Mus musculus: one gene and its partners. The protein of the gene in region 1 interacts with the protein of each later gene in a biochemical or structural test. Links are inferred from orthologs where the notes say so. Each region holds a gene or a part of one and is shown on either strand. Other genes may lie near its edges.

Region 1 (4,339 bases):
GGTCATTAGGCATGGCAACAAGTACCATCACCCACAGAGCCATCAACAGCTCCTACATTGCCTTTTAAATACAAGAATGTTACCATTAAGAACAAAATTAAAATTTTTTTCCTGACATCTTAGTGAAGCTGCAGTGGTCCACACGACTCCCTGAGTTTCGCCATGCCGCCCAAAGACGACAAGAAGAAGAAAAATGTCAGAAAGTCGGCCAAAAAGGACAAAGACCCAGTAAATAAATCTGGCGCCAAGGCTAAGAAGTGGTCCAAAAGCAAAGTTCGGGACAAGTTGGACAATCTTGTCCTGTTTGACAATCTCTGTAAGGAAGTTTCCAACTATAAGCTTATTACTCCATCCATGGTCTCCGAGAGACTGAAGATTCCCGGGTCCTTGGCCAGGGCAGCCCTCCAGAAGCTCCTTAGTAAAGGACTTATCAAGCTGGTTTCAAAGCACAGAGCTCAAATGATTTATACCAGAAACACAAAGGGTGGAGACGCCCCAGCTGCTGGTGAAGAACAGGTTCAATCAGCTGTGCATTTGAGAAAATAAAACTTTATTGAATCAAAAAAAAAAAAAAAAAAAGAACAAAATTAAAAATCTGACCTGAAGGCATTTTTGTGTTTTCTTTCATATTTCAGAAAGACCTGCACCTACAGATTGCTCCTCCTCATACAGGCCCTCTAACATACAGATTCTCTGTGACTGGCAGAGTTTTGTCTCTGGGGTCCACCCTTCTCTGTAAGGAGAGGTGATCAACCTTGCCACTTGCAATGAAACCTTGTCAAAAATCCTTCCCATATTTTCTCATTCTACACGGCACATTCCCTGATGCTAACAAGCCAGTGGCTGCGGATGGAACCCTCGAGTCCTGTCCAGTTGAGGTCTTGGTTGGGACCAGCAGCCTCAGGGCTCCCAGTGCAAGCAAGCTCTAGGACCCTCTTTTTCTGGGGTGGTGGTGGTGAGGCTGAAGAGTTGTGTGACCTTGGAAAAGTCCCTTTCTTTTTCATGGAAAGTGACGGTCGGATTAGTTACTTCCGAGTTTGATGGTGATTACACAATATGGAAAACCCGTGCCTTTAAGCATCTATTGATCTTCGAAGACCCAGTCACGCAGGGTACCAGAGGCTGCTCTCAGGCCTTGGCGAAGGGGGGTGGGGGGGAGTAGTGAGCATCTAGAACCCGCGCCTGAACTCTCGCGAGATTTCCTCCCACTGCCTCGCGACGTCATCCCCTCTGCGGCTGTGCTTGCGCCGGCGCCTGCGCCGGCGCGTAGGGTGCTCGCAGGGGCGGCCCGTATCCCTCCGCCGCTGGCGCGGCCCGGCCCTCCCTCCCTGGCCCGCCAATCCCGGCGCCTCCCGACCTGCCCCTCGGCCTGGGCCCACCCTGCGCTCCGGCGGCCCCACCCCGGCGGCGCCGCCCGCCCGCGCGTCCCTTAGTCCACCTGCACCAGGCAGGAGAGCAGGCTCCCCCCGGCTCCGCCACCGTAAGGCGCTGGGCGAGCCCGGAGCTTGGGGGCTCTTCCTCCCAGGCGGAGGGATCCACGGCGGCCGAGGAGGCGGCGCTGAGCGTACGAGGAAGAGGCAGCTACGGCGGCGGCGGCGGCTGTGGCAGCAGCGCATAAAGGGGCCGCCGCCGGGTGATGCGGTGACCGCTGCGGCAGGCCCAGAAGCTGAGTGGGGCCTCGGCCCTCAGCTCGTCTGATCCGCACTCCCGGGAGCTCCCGGTCTTCTCCGGTCGACTCGCGACCGCTCGGGCGGTCTCAGGCCCCCTCGCCCCTTCCCCGTCCCTCCCCCGTCCCCGTCCCCGCCCCGGGGGCCGTCGCCACCGTTTCCCACCATGGCTCTGAAGAGAATCCACAAGGTAAGCGGCCAGGGGGTTTGCGGTGGGCATGGGCCGCTGGGCGGGCCCCCTGAATAGGCTGCGGCCTGCACTTCCCGCGATCGCCTCCGCTGGACTCGCGGCGTCTGGTTCCTTCTGCCGGCGCCGGCCCCAGGGGGGCGGCCTTCACACCCCGCTCCCAGAGATGGCGCCCAGGAAGGCCCGTGCGCGGGGCCCTGGCTTAGGCCAAAGTTGCTCTTGTCCTCGCAGGCTCTAATCCCCGACGCCCTTCCAGGCCTCCCTCCAGCCTGAGACTTGATGCTCTTTAGGGCTATTGTCCGGCCGAAAAAGGGACTTGGGGCGGCGCAGGGGGGTTGGGGGGTAGGGGTGGGGCGGCTGGTAGTTGGGTGGCCCTGTGATCTGAGGTCGATAGGCTGCTCGCAGTCTGTCCCCCTACTCTGGTGCCCTCCTTCGAGCTGCCTGAGATCGAGGACATAGTTAGGCCGACCAGAGGGTCCATTTGCTCGCTCCATGACTGTTTTTCTTGAGTTCACTTAACTAACTCTGGGGCAGCTAACTGCTCCCGAAAGGCCACCTTAACTGGTCTAGAAAGTGGACTTGGAAGTCAGAGGTAAGAAAATGCCACACCGGAGGGAGGAGGGGATTAAGTGGAGAAGCGTTTTATTCCTTGGGGTTGGTGTATGTCGTCAGAAACTAACCCTTCAGTTTTGCAGGATTGGATCTAGTGGAACAACAACTGGTAGAGAGTAGAAGCCATTCAGTTAAGAAAACCGAACGTTGAAAACCGCCGGAGAAATTCCTTTCACAGACTTCTTCCAAAATGATTTTAACCCTGAAAATATATACTATGTTTGCTGAGACTTCCAATTTAGAAGGGATTTTACTCTATTTTTGGTTAGAAATAACTTCTTAATTCTTTTAAATGAAAGGTTATCCACTTATTTAATGATAGATTTAATACTATGGAGAACATTGGCTTTGATTAAAATTTAGCCCCTAGCCCCCCAAATATTAACTTCTTAGTATCACTTATGATTACTTTTCTTCCCTCTTAGAAATAGGAAGTTACCCACTGGTGAGTTTTGTTTGCTGTTTTATTTGGCTCCTCAGATGAGCGATATTAACTTGTATTAGTAAGTGGCTGGACCTGGGATAACCCATAAGGACCGATAGGGTAGGAATACAAAAGAATGGAGGTTGGAGCACAGTTCAGCAATCAATTGGACCTCATTTATTCTTTATTCAAGACTTTGTGGAATTAATTTCATTCCTTACTGTGAGTTAGCATCTTACCAACTTTTGTTTTCTTTCATTTCTTAGAACCCAGAGGGTAGACTTTAGGTAGTAAATCTTTTTTTTTTAAGATTTATTTATTATATGTAAATACACTGTTGATGTCTTCAGACACACCAGAAGGGGCATCAGATCTCATTACAGATGGCTGTGAGCCACCATGTGGTTACTGGGAATTGAACTCAGGGCCTTTGGAAGAGCAGTCAGTGCTCTTAACCACTGATCCATCTCTCCAGCCCAGGTAGTAAATCTTGTACTAAAATGAAGCAGGGTCTTTGCACAAAGAAGTTTGATCAAAAGAAAAACTGTGTAAGGGATAAGAACAAAGTAAGAAACATCTAAGTAACATGTATATGTATTTCTAAGACTTTAGTAGTCTTTATGGAGTCTAATGGAGCATTATCAATTTGAAATGGTATTGAATTAGACCTGTAAAGATTGCCCCCCAAAGCTCGGAAAGGGGAGTTTGGTTTGTGAAATTTTGTAGAGATTCTTTTTTTTTTTTTTTTTTTTTTTTTAAGGTGGAGTCTCACTAGCTCTGGCTGGCTTGGAACTTTTAACTATGGTGTAGACCAGGCTGGCCTCAACTCCATGACCCACTTGCCACTGCCTTTGAAGGGCTGAGATTAAACCATCAAGTTAATAGCTTTTAGAGTTTCTGTTAATATCTGTGCTATACAGACTTCTTCAGAGAGGGAGATGACACTGACTCAAAACATACATTTAAATCTTAGAATAACATTTGCCCGCCCAATATAGTTCCTGTTGTTGTGGGTTTTGTTTTCTCTGTGTAACAGCTCTGCCTGTGTGCTGGTCTCAAACTCTCAGATCTGCCTGCCCCTTTGCCTTCCCAGTGCCAGAAGTAAATGTGTGTGCCACCACAGCTTGCTCCTAGTGCTGTTTTTGAGTTAGGCTGTCACTGCTGGTGTTGATCCTGAGTGCTGGGATTCAGGCACGTACCATCACACCTGCCTTCACTAGACCTTTTTGTTTAGTACTAGGGATTGAATCCAAGATCTTCTGCATGCTAAGGCAAACACTCTACTACATTCTCAGTTCTTACAAATATTTTTTAAAAATCAGGTTTAGAAATGTTCATTTGACCTTAAAATTGTGGGTGTGTGTTTGTGTGTGTTTCAACCACAGCCCTCATGGGAGTGTGAGGATAACTTTGTAAAGTCTCTTCTTTTCACCTTTCCATGGGTCCTAG
Region 2 (4,121 bases), on another chromosome or scaffold:
TTCTTTCTCCTCCTTCCTCCATTCCCAAAGTGTCTTTTCTAACCCTAATGAATTGGTGGGACTCAGTGGGTTAGGAATGTACCTAACATATAGTAGGAAGGAAAAATGTAACCCCCATTTCTTTTCAGACCTGTTGGCAGATAAGAAGTCCTACTTGTTGCCAAGCCCACAGCCTTGCTGCTTTAATATCTGGATGGTGGCTTGGTTCCTGAGGCTTGGAGGATAGAAGAACAATACTTTCTGCCACCTCTGTTTATTATGTGCCACCCCGATGGGCACCTAGGTTCTGGCTCCTAAGTTTTGAATCCAAAAACTAACTTCATAGGGAGTTAGGTGTCTTTGGGAGATCTGGAGTTTGGAAGGACAAACCCAAGGGAGAAAGCCTGAGGCCGGGCTGTACAGAACGTATCAGCCTCAGCATCTTGGGTTCTGCAACCCTGAAGAAGCTTCCGTAGAAGTAGAGGTCAAAGTCAGAGAGGGAGCAGCAGCACGAGGGAGGTGAAAGGACTTCCATCTGCTTACAGAATGGGGAAGGGAGAACTTCTGTTCTCTGACAATATTCTACTAGGACAAGCTCTACTTTTATGATGGTTAGACACATTTGTGAAGGAAGCAGAAGAGTAAAGGACCCCATTAAATCCTGGTGCCTTCCACGACCTCACCCAAGTAAAGTTATTAATATCCCCACCCAACACCAGGCTCTGAATCTCCAGGGTTTGACAAGGAGGGGAAATCCAACTTTCTAAACCAGAAACCCCCAAGAGATTGAGGGAGGGGGCGCTGTGCAGGGGAGGGGCAAGTTCCCCTCCTCCACTCCAAATCCTCCAGCCCCAACACTGGGATGGATGAAGTGGAATATGTGGTAGGGGCCCCAGCCTGCCTCCCCTCCACTGCCAGGAACTGGCCTTCTTCTTTACTCCCGCGGAATGCAGCCCCTCCATTGTTCCCCACCGTGGGACAGCTCCTCCCCCCACTCCACCTCCCAGCCCAGCCCCTTTGCCATATCCAAATCCCGCCCCCCCCCCACAAGAAGCTAGGAGGGGAAGGGTCCCTAAGATCCAGGTTGTTCAATTTGGGTCCTTACCAACACTCCCACCCATCCAGGGATGCTGGGCTGGGAGGGTGTGGTAACATACTCCATTGGCTTAATTCAACACCCCTCCCAGCACACCCAGACACGCACCCCCCCCCCATATTCCAAGTGGAGGTTTCTGTCCTGTCCCCCTTCACCGACATGCCCTTCCTGGCCTGTCCCATGAATTCACTCAGAGACTTCTCTGCAGACCCCTAGCTCCAGGCCGTGGCCAGCCCAGAACAAAAGCAAGACGGAGGAGGAGAGGCCCACGCCAAGACTGGTACTTCCTCAGAAATTCCCCTCCCCAAACACAGGGGCCCTCCAACTTCGGTGTGTAAGCGACCAAGGGACCCCTCTTTGCCAAGGGCTCCCTCATCACCTCTCCCCAGACTGGGACCCTCCCCTGGGCCACACCCCCTTTCATTCCTACACTCAGCCCAACAAAGAGGCAGCTCTTCAGTCGGGCTTCGTGGACTAGGTCTCCCTCAGAGTCCCCAACTCCAACAGCAGAAGGTCCCAGGAGTGCCCCCTCCCCAGTATACAAGCAGAAACTAGAGTAGGGGCTCCCAAGTAATTGCACATTCCGTCAGTCCTTCCAGCCAGGAGCCGACACCCCCTCCGCACAGACCCTGGGATTGGGAGGCAGCTCCCCCTCCCCTTTCCTCTCCCAGTTCCAGGATATTTCTTTGTCTACGGGCGGAGCCCCAGGGGAGGAAGGGTCCCGAGAGTCGTCCCGACTAGGGGTAGCAGGGAACTTTGTGGCACTTGGAATCTGGGCAGGGGGCGGGGCCCCCTTTGTCGGGAAGGGACAGAGCCAGAGGCGCGCAAAGAAGGAAGCGATGAACTTTCCGTGCCGGGGACAGCAAGCCCCCACTCCAACCCTCGCAGTGTCCAGACGCCCGCTTACCTTGCCTGCCCACGATCTCGGCCACGTGCTCGGAGGTGGGCACGGGAACGCACTCCGTGGTGTTGCTGCTGCCCTTCAGTCGCAGCTCGGCCTCTTTGTAGAGCGCGCAGAGCTTGGCGTCGTTCGCCCCTTTGGGGGCGGTGGGGGGCTGGGGCGTCTGCGCCGCGGGGGCCGCGCTCGGGGCGGCCGGGGCCGCCGCGGGCGGCGGCGGCGGGGCCGGCTGCGGGGGGGCGGCCGGCTGCGCGGGGGCGCCGCCCCCCCCACCTCCCCCGTCCTCGCCCGCCGTGGGGGCGGGGGGCTCCCCCAAACCCAGGAGGCAGAGTTGATCAAGAGCCAGCTGAAGGGCGCGCTCGTCTTCCAGCAGCCCTCGGTCCTTAGCGCTTCCCCCGAAACATCCTAGTTCTCCAAAGCCCCCATTTCTTTCCATTATTCCAGATACCACTAGACTAGGCATGGCGAAACAAAAGCTGGGGGAGAGAGGGAGAGAGAGAGGTGGTGGAAGGGAGAAGAGGAGAGAGGAGGGGAGGGGAGAGGAGAGGAGGGGGTGTGTGGGGAGGGGGAACAAAGAGCTGGGGAGGGGGGAAGAAAGCGAGATAGAAAGATAGACCCACCCCTAAGCCCCCCTCCCCAAGCACCCTGTAACCTGACTCCCCTCGCCCCAGCCCCCGGGTGGGGGTGGGGGAAAAGAAGCAAAACCAAGAAAGCAGATCTCCTCTCGCTCCGGGGTGACGGGGTGGGGTGGGGGGCTGCGGGCCCTAGCCCCCACCCCTCCGCCTCGGACCCAGAGTCTCTACCCTCCGCCGAGCAGACGCCCCCTTAGGTTCCCGCACCGAGCCCCAGTCCCGGAGCGTCGCTCAGTGGCCCCCAATAGAGCCCAGCCCCTTCCAGCGCTCAAACTCTTTTGTTTTAAATGAACTGGATGGAGCAGCATGGAACTGACGGGAGGGGGGCGCGCCGGGGGCGCCCGGGGCATGCCGGGAGTTGTAGTTTCCCGCCCTCGGGCGCGGGGAGGAATTCCTCAACCCGGGCAAGAAGGGGATTGCGCCCCTCGGGCTCTGCCCACTGGTCACGGGAAAAGCCTCGGGTGGGTTGGGAGTTGTGGTCCGAGAAATTTTAGGAGCTGGCAGTATGCGGGAAGGGAGCGGGTGTGGAAAGGCGTTTCTCCTCTGCCCGCGGGTCCCGGGCCTCTTTCTTATGGTAATGAGGGCCGGGGCGGAGCGGCCTCGTGGCTGCAGTGCCCTCCCTCCTCCCGCGCGCGATCGCGGAGTCCACGGGCTCGGGCCTCTGGGAGAGAGCTGGTGGAGCAGACAAAGCCCGCGGCCGCTACAGTGGGAGGAGCAGGTCTCTGCGCTGTGTGGGGGCCAGGAAGGGGCGTTCGGTTGGGGGTGGGACCCCCGGTAGAGGATGTGGTTCCCTCTCTTCTCGGAGGTAGCAAGCCCTTCCCCCTCCCCCAGCCCCCCAGTTCCGGGATCTCAGAGGCCACGACTGGGAGGTGAGTTAGTTCGTGCCCCCGTGGTCCGTGCAGTGACCCGGGGAGGATGAGGAGGCGTGGAGGGAGAGGATGGGGGTGGGGGCTGATCCGGGAAGCCAGAAGGGTCCTAGAGGCTTCGTATGGCTTAATTTGGAGCCTTGAACCTTGAGTAACAGGAGTGAGATTGGGGGCCCCTGAGAACCCAGGTTTTTTATTTTTACTTTTTTAGACCTGAGCCTCGAATATAGTGGAGGAAATCTTTTGTCCCTTAGGACGGTCATTTCGCTGTTTCCTTTGCCTCCTTTATAAACCAGTAATTCAGCCCTTTTAACCCTAGAAATATGGCGAAAGAGATCATAAATAAGCTTTTAAGATTTGACTGTTAAGAGGGGAGTTAGAGTGTACTGCATTCTTTTCTCTTTCTTTCTTTTTTACTTCCCCCCTACTCTGTATCTTCTGGTTTTTGTTTTTGTTTTTCTTTCAAGAGAGGGATGGGATCTAAAGGTCTTGTGGTCAGGCTCAAGGAGTCACCTCCCCAAGTTGGATCACAGTAGATGGGTATGCTGGGTGGGTAGGAGTCCCGCCCCTGCCCGAGGGGTTTCCTTTGGGAAATCTGAGCTAGTCTAGAGGAAAAGTTTTGCATGAAGGTAGGGCAGTAGATTGACAAT
Region 3 (3,643 bases), on another chromosome or scaffold:
AGTACTAGGATTCAGGCATATGCCACGGTACCTGGTAATACAATCCTGGGGATCAAGCCCAAGGCTTCTGCATGATAGCCAGGCACTCTACCAACTGAGCAATATCCTCAGACCTTAGTATGGAATACACTAAACAATATGCTATTATTTGGGTGGCAACTAGAGCAGGACTTGTGAAGCAATCTACTCTTCTCAGAACATAAATGTGATAAAAAGAAAATGAGCAATCTAGCCCACTACCAATCCACAAAGGTCTCAAGCTGGTGACTCTAACCAAGTCGGACATAATTTGCTCACCACAAAAGAGATGTCCACAGTTTGTTTCAACAGGAAAGGAGGCTTGATGTAAGCAGATTGGACAGTACATTTCAGTGTAGAACTGCTGTCGGGCAGGAGCAGGGACATCCTGGGGAAAGGACACAGACATCTCTCAAGACAGAAATTACACATGCGCAATAGTTTAACGTCTTGCAAGTCTGAGAAGCTTGCAAAGTTGTTTTATTTGAACTCAGTGGCCTTCACCTTCCTCCCTACACACAACTTGAAAACAAAATGTAGATTAACTCAAAGCTAGCTTTTCTACTTTATTAAAATGCATGTTATTTGAATTCTACAAGCTGCGATATAAACTAGAGAATCCGAAACACCCTGCTTCAGTGTAACTCAGAGGGAGAGCACCCACTTAACATGCATGAGGCCCTGGGTCTGATCCTCAATACCATAAAAACAGAAAAAATATCAAACTATCATTCTTAATATTCACCAATTTTTTTAACATTTTAAACAACCTTTTTGGTTTTTAAAACAGTCTTGTTTTGTAGCCCTGTCAGACCTGGACCTTACAGCAGCAATTCTCCCCAGCTTCTCAAATGCTAGCATTGCAGGACCGTGTCTGGCGTCATCCTTTTCATTGAACACCTGTCCCCTGTAAAGTTTTGCATATCTGCTCTATCTTCCACAAGAATTAATCTTCCAGTTAAGATTATTTGCTCATTTTATAAGTAGGGAAAAAATGACCACTTTTGGTCATGTGAACGTGGTCCTTTGGAAACCCACCCTAGTAAATGTTAACATGCTTCTCATTGCATGTTTGTAATCCCAACAGTGAGGACGCAGGGTCGGGAAGGTAAGGGTTCCAAATTACCCTTGGCTGCCTAACAAGTCCCAGGGTTGGGCTACATGAGACCTTGTCTTAAAACCCCAAACCACGCAAATATGTAATATATGCATATTCTTTGATTGTATCACTGTTGTGATCAGATAGTAGTACAAGTACCACACATCAAATATGATTCTGGAATAAAATGCCGTGAAGGCAAAAACTCCACTTATAGGATTCACTGTAGTACCTAAGGACCTAGAAAACTATCCAGCACTAACGCAAACGTACACCTTCATCAAGGGCTGGAAAGCTGGCTCTGCAGTTTAGGGCATGACCCGTTCTTGCCGTTCATGTGTTTGGTTCCCAGCACACACATGATGGCTCACAATCATCTCTAACTCCAGCTGCAGGGGCTCTAACATCCTCTTCTGAATTCTATGGCACCAAGCACATACATGATGCACATACATTAGGCAAAACATTCATACACATACAATAAATAGGTATTAAACTTTTTAAAATAAAATTATCACAAAAATCAAAAGTAGTAAATACAAACTTAATTATAAAATGAATTAAAGAACTTTTGATAAATGTTAAGATATTATAATTAGAATTTTAATTTCTTAAAATAGCACTAATTACTAAAATAATTGAAGGTAGCATTGTTATTCCAGTGTTAATACTACAAAATGAAAATATTAAAATATGTAAATACTACCAGGCAGTGTTGCACACTTAGGAGGCAGAGGCAGGCAGATCTACATGAGTTGGAGACCAGCCTGATCTACAGTGTGAGGTCCAGGACAGCCAAGGCTACACAGAGAAACCCTGCCTCAAAAAAAAAAAAAAACAAAAAAAACCAGTAATTAATATTAAAATAAAAACTTATACCTTTCTTGATGTTTTTCAAAGAATATAACAAAAGCCAACAGAATAGCTCATATCTATAAGCCCAGCATTAGGGAGGCAGAGGCAAGCATGTCTCTATGAATTTGAGGTCAATTTGGTCTACACAGCAAGTTCCAGACCAGCCAGGACCATGTAATTCTGTGTCAAAAAAAAAAAAAAAAAAGAGAGAGAGAGAGAGAGAAATAAAAAAGGAAGTATCTATTTCATTTCCGTTAAAGTTGACTACATTTTTTATACAAACAACAAATACAAAAATCGTTCTCCTTTAGAACAAGGCGATAAAAAGCATGCATGTATCTGTAACTGGACTTCTGGGTTCTTCTTTCTTCCATCCTTCTCTACCTCTCTTCTTCCACCCTTCCAACCCCTAACACTAGGTAGGCGAGAGAAAAGGACTGAGGAGAAAGAGGGTGATGGTATCATGAGACTACTTCCTACTGACTAGGGCGTCAAGTTCTTTGGAGCAAATTTGATCTTGTCTGTCAGGATATCTAGTTCCTTCTTTTCTTCTGTTTGCACCCGACTGCCTGATAAACCGCAACCAACAGCATCCAGCCACCAACCAGCCAACCAGCAGCCATCTATGGGGCTCTAGCACTTAAGACACCCTCTGAAGAGTCCCCAGAATTCCAAAACGCTGTCAAAACCATGCCCCTGCTTAAGGATGATGCAAATCATAGTCAGCTGCTGTGGAGAACGTGAGGTAACACCATATCCACGCCTGAGGTTAAAATGAAAACATATTCCCATATGTTTCTGTGGTTTTCAAAGAAACCAAAATCCTCACTGCATGCATCCGTATAGATTAAGACTAGTCAACATGCCACTAGGTTGATCGCTCTTGCCAGTAGCTCCAGAACTTGGGAGGTCTAGTGGTCTCCATGAGAATGGTCATATAACATTTGAACGCGAGGCCTCTGGCAGATGGAACTGTTTTGGGAAGGATTAGGGGACTTGGCCTTGTTGTCACTCAGGGTGGGCTTCAAGGTTTCAAAAGCCCACCTGAAGCCCAGTCTCTCACTCGGCTCCAGAGCCACGCCTGCCTGTCTGCGGCCACACTCCCTACCATGATGATAATGAACCAACTCTCTGAAACAGTAAGCAAGCCCCCAGTTAAATGCTTTATTTTATAAGTTGCCTGTACCTGGACTTATAGTTACAGCAATAGAAAAGTAACTGTGACCGAGGTAGAGTCGGGAAGATCAGGAGATCACGATCATTCTCAGCTCCCCAACAAGTGCCAGGCCAGCCTGGAATACGCGAGACTGCCTGGATGTCCTCCCAGTCCCGTCAAAAGAACATGTGCTTAATCTGAAAATATGTAGTCTGAGGAACAATATAATGTAAGGAGTAAAGCAGCTGATGCTTCTTAAAGCTACTTTCTAATGTCTTATCACCACTCCTATAACAGGAAACTACAACATCCCCTTCTATAAATATATATACTACATCAGCATACCTGTTCTGTTTGGAATTGTTCTCGAAGCACTCTGACTAGCTCCTGGTTTTCTGGATGGATGTTCTGCTGTACATTTCTGTTGGACAGAGTTTATAAAGTTAGATTAACCCATCTGCTTTATTCGTCTAGTTTTTGACATTGAACTGCTGACAAGCACGGGTGGATGACAT

What was found. The genes of interacting proteins can lie anywhere in the genome.
Region 2: the proteins of Ube2d2a (region 1) and Mex3a form a complex in vitro, tested with the Homo sapiens proteins (2 studies listed by BioGRID). The link is inferred for Mus musculus from reciprocal best matches to the Homo sapiens genes UBE2D2 and MEX3A.
Region 3: the proteins of Ube2d2a (region 1) and Rnf170 form a complex in vitro, tested with the Homo sapiens proteins (2 studies listed by BioGRID). The link is inferred for Mus musculus from reciprocal best matches to the Homo sapiens genes UBE2D2 and RNF170.

What each region holds. Positions count from the first base shown.
Region 1 is NC_000084.6:35,770,156-35,774,494, forward strand, and holds the start of Ube2d2a (ubiquitin-conjugating enzyme E2 D2), read left to right. Parts: upstream 1-1,403; 5' UTR 1,404-1,833; coding exon 1,834-1,857; intron 1,858-1,875; exon of another isoform or gene 1,876-2,446; intron 2,447-4,339.
Region 2 is NC_000069.6:88,530,710-88,534,830, reverse strand, and holds the start of Mex3a (RNA-binding protein MEX3A), read right to left. Parts: upstream 2,886-4,121; 5' UTR 2,437-2,885; coding exon 1,983-2,436; intron 1-1,982. UniProt on the Homo sapiens protein: RNA binding protein, may be involved in post-transcriptional regulatory mechanisms.
Region 3 is NC_000074.6:26,125,810-26,129,452, reverse strand, and holds part of Rnf170 (E3 ubiquitin-protein ligase RNF170), read right to left. Parts: intron 3,550-3,643; coding exon 3,474-3,549; intron 407-3,473; coding exon 298-406; intron 1-297. UniProt on the Homo sapiens protein: E3 ubiquitin-protein ligase that plays an essential role in stimulus-induced inositol 1,4,5-trisphosphate receptor type 1 (ITPR1) ubiquitination and degradation via the endoplasmic reticulum-associated degradation (ERAD) pathway.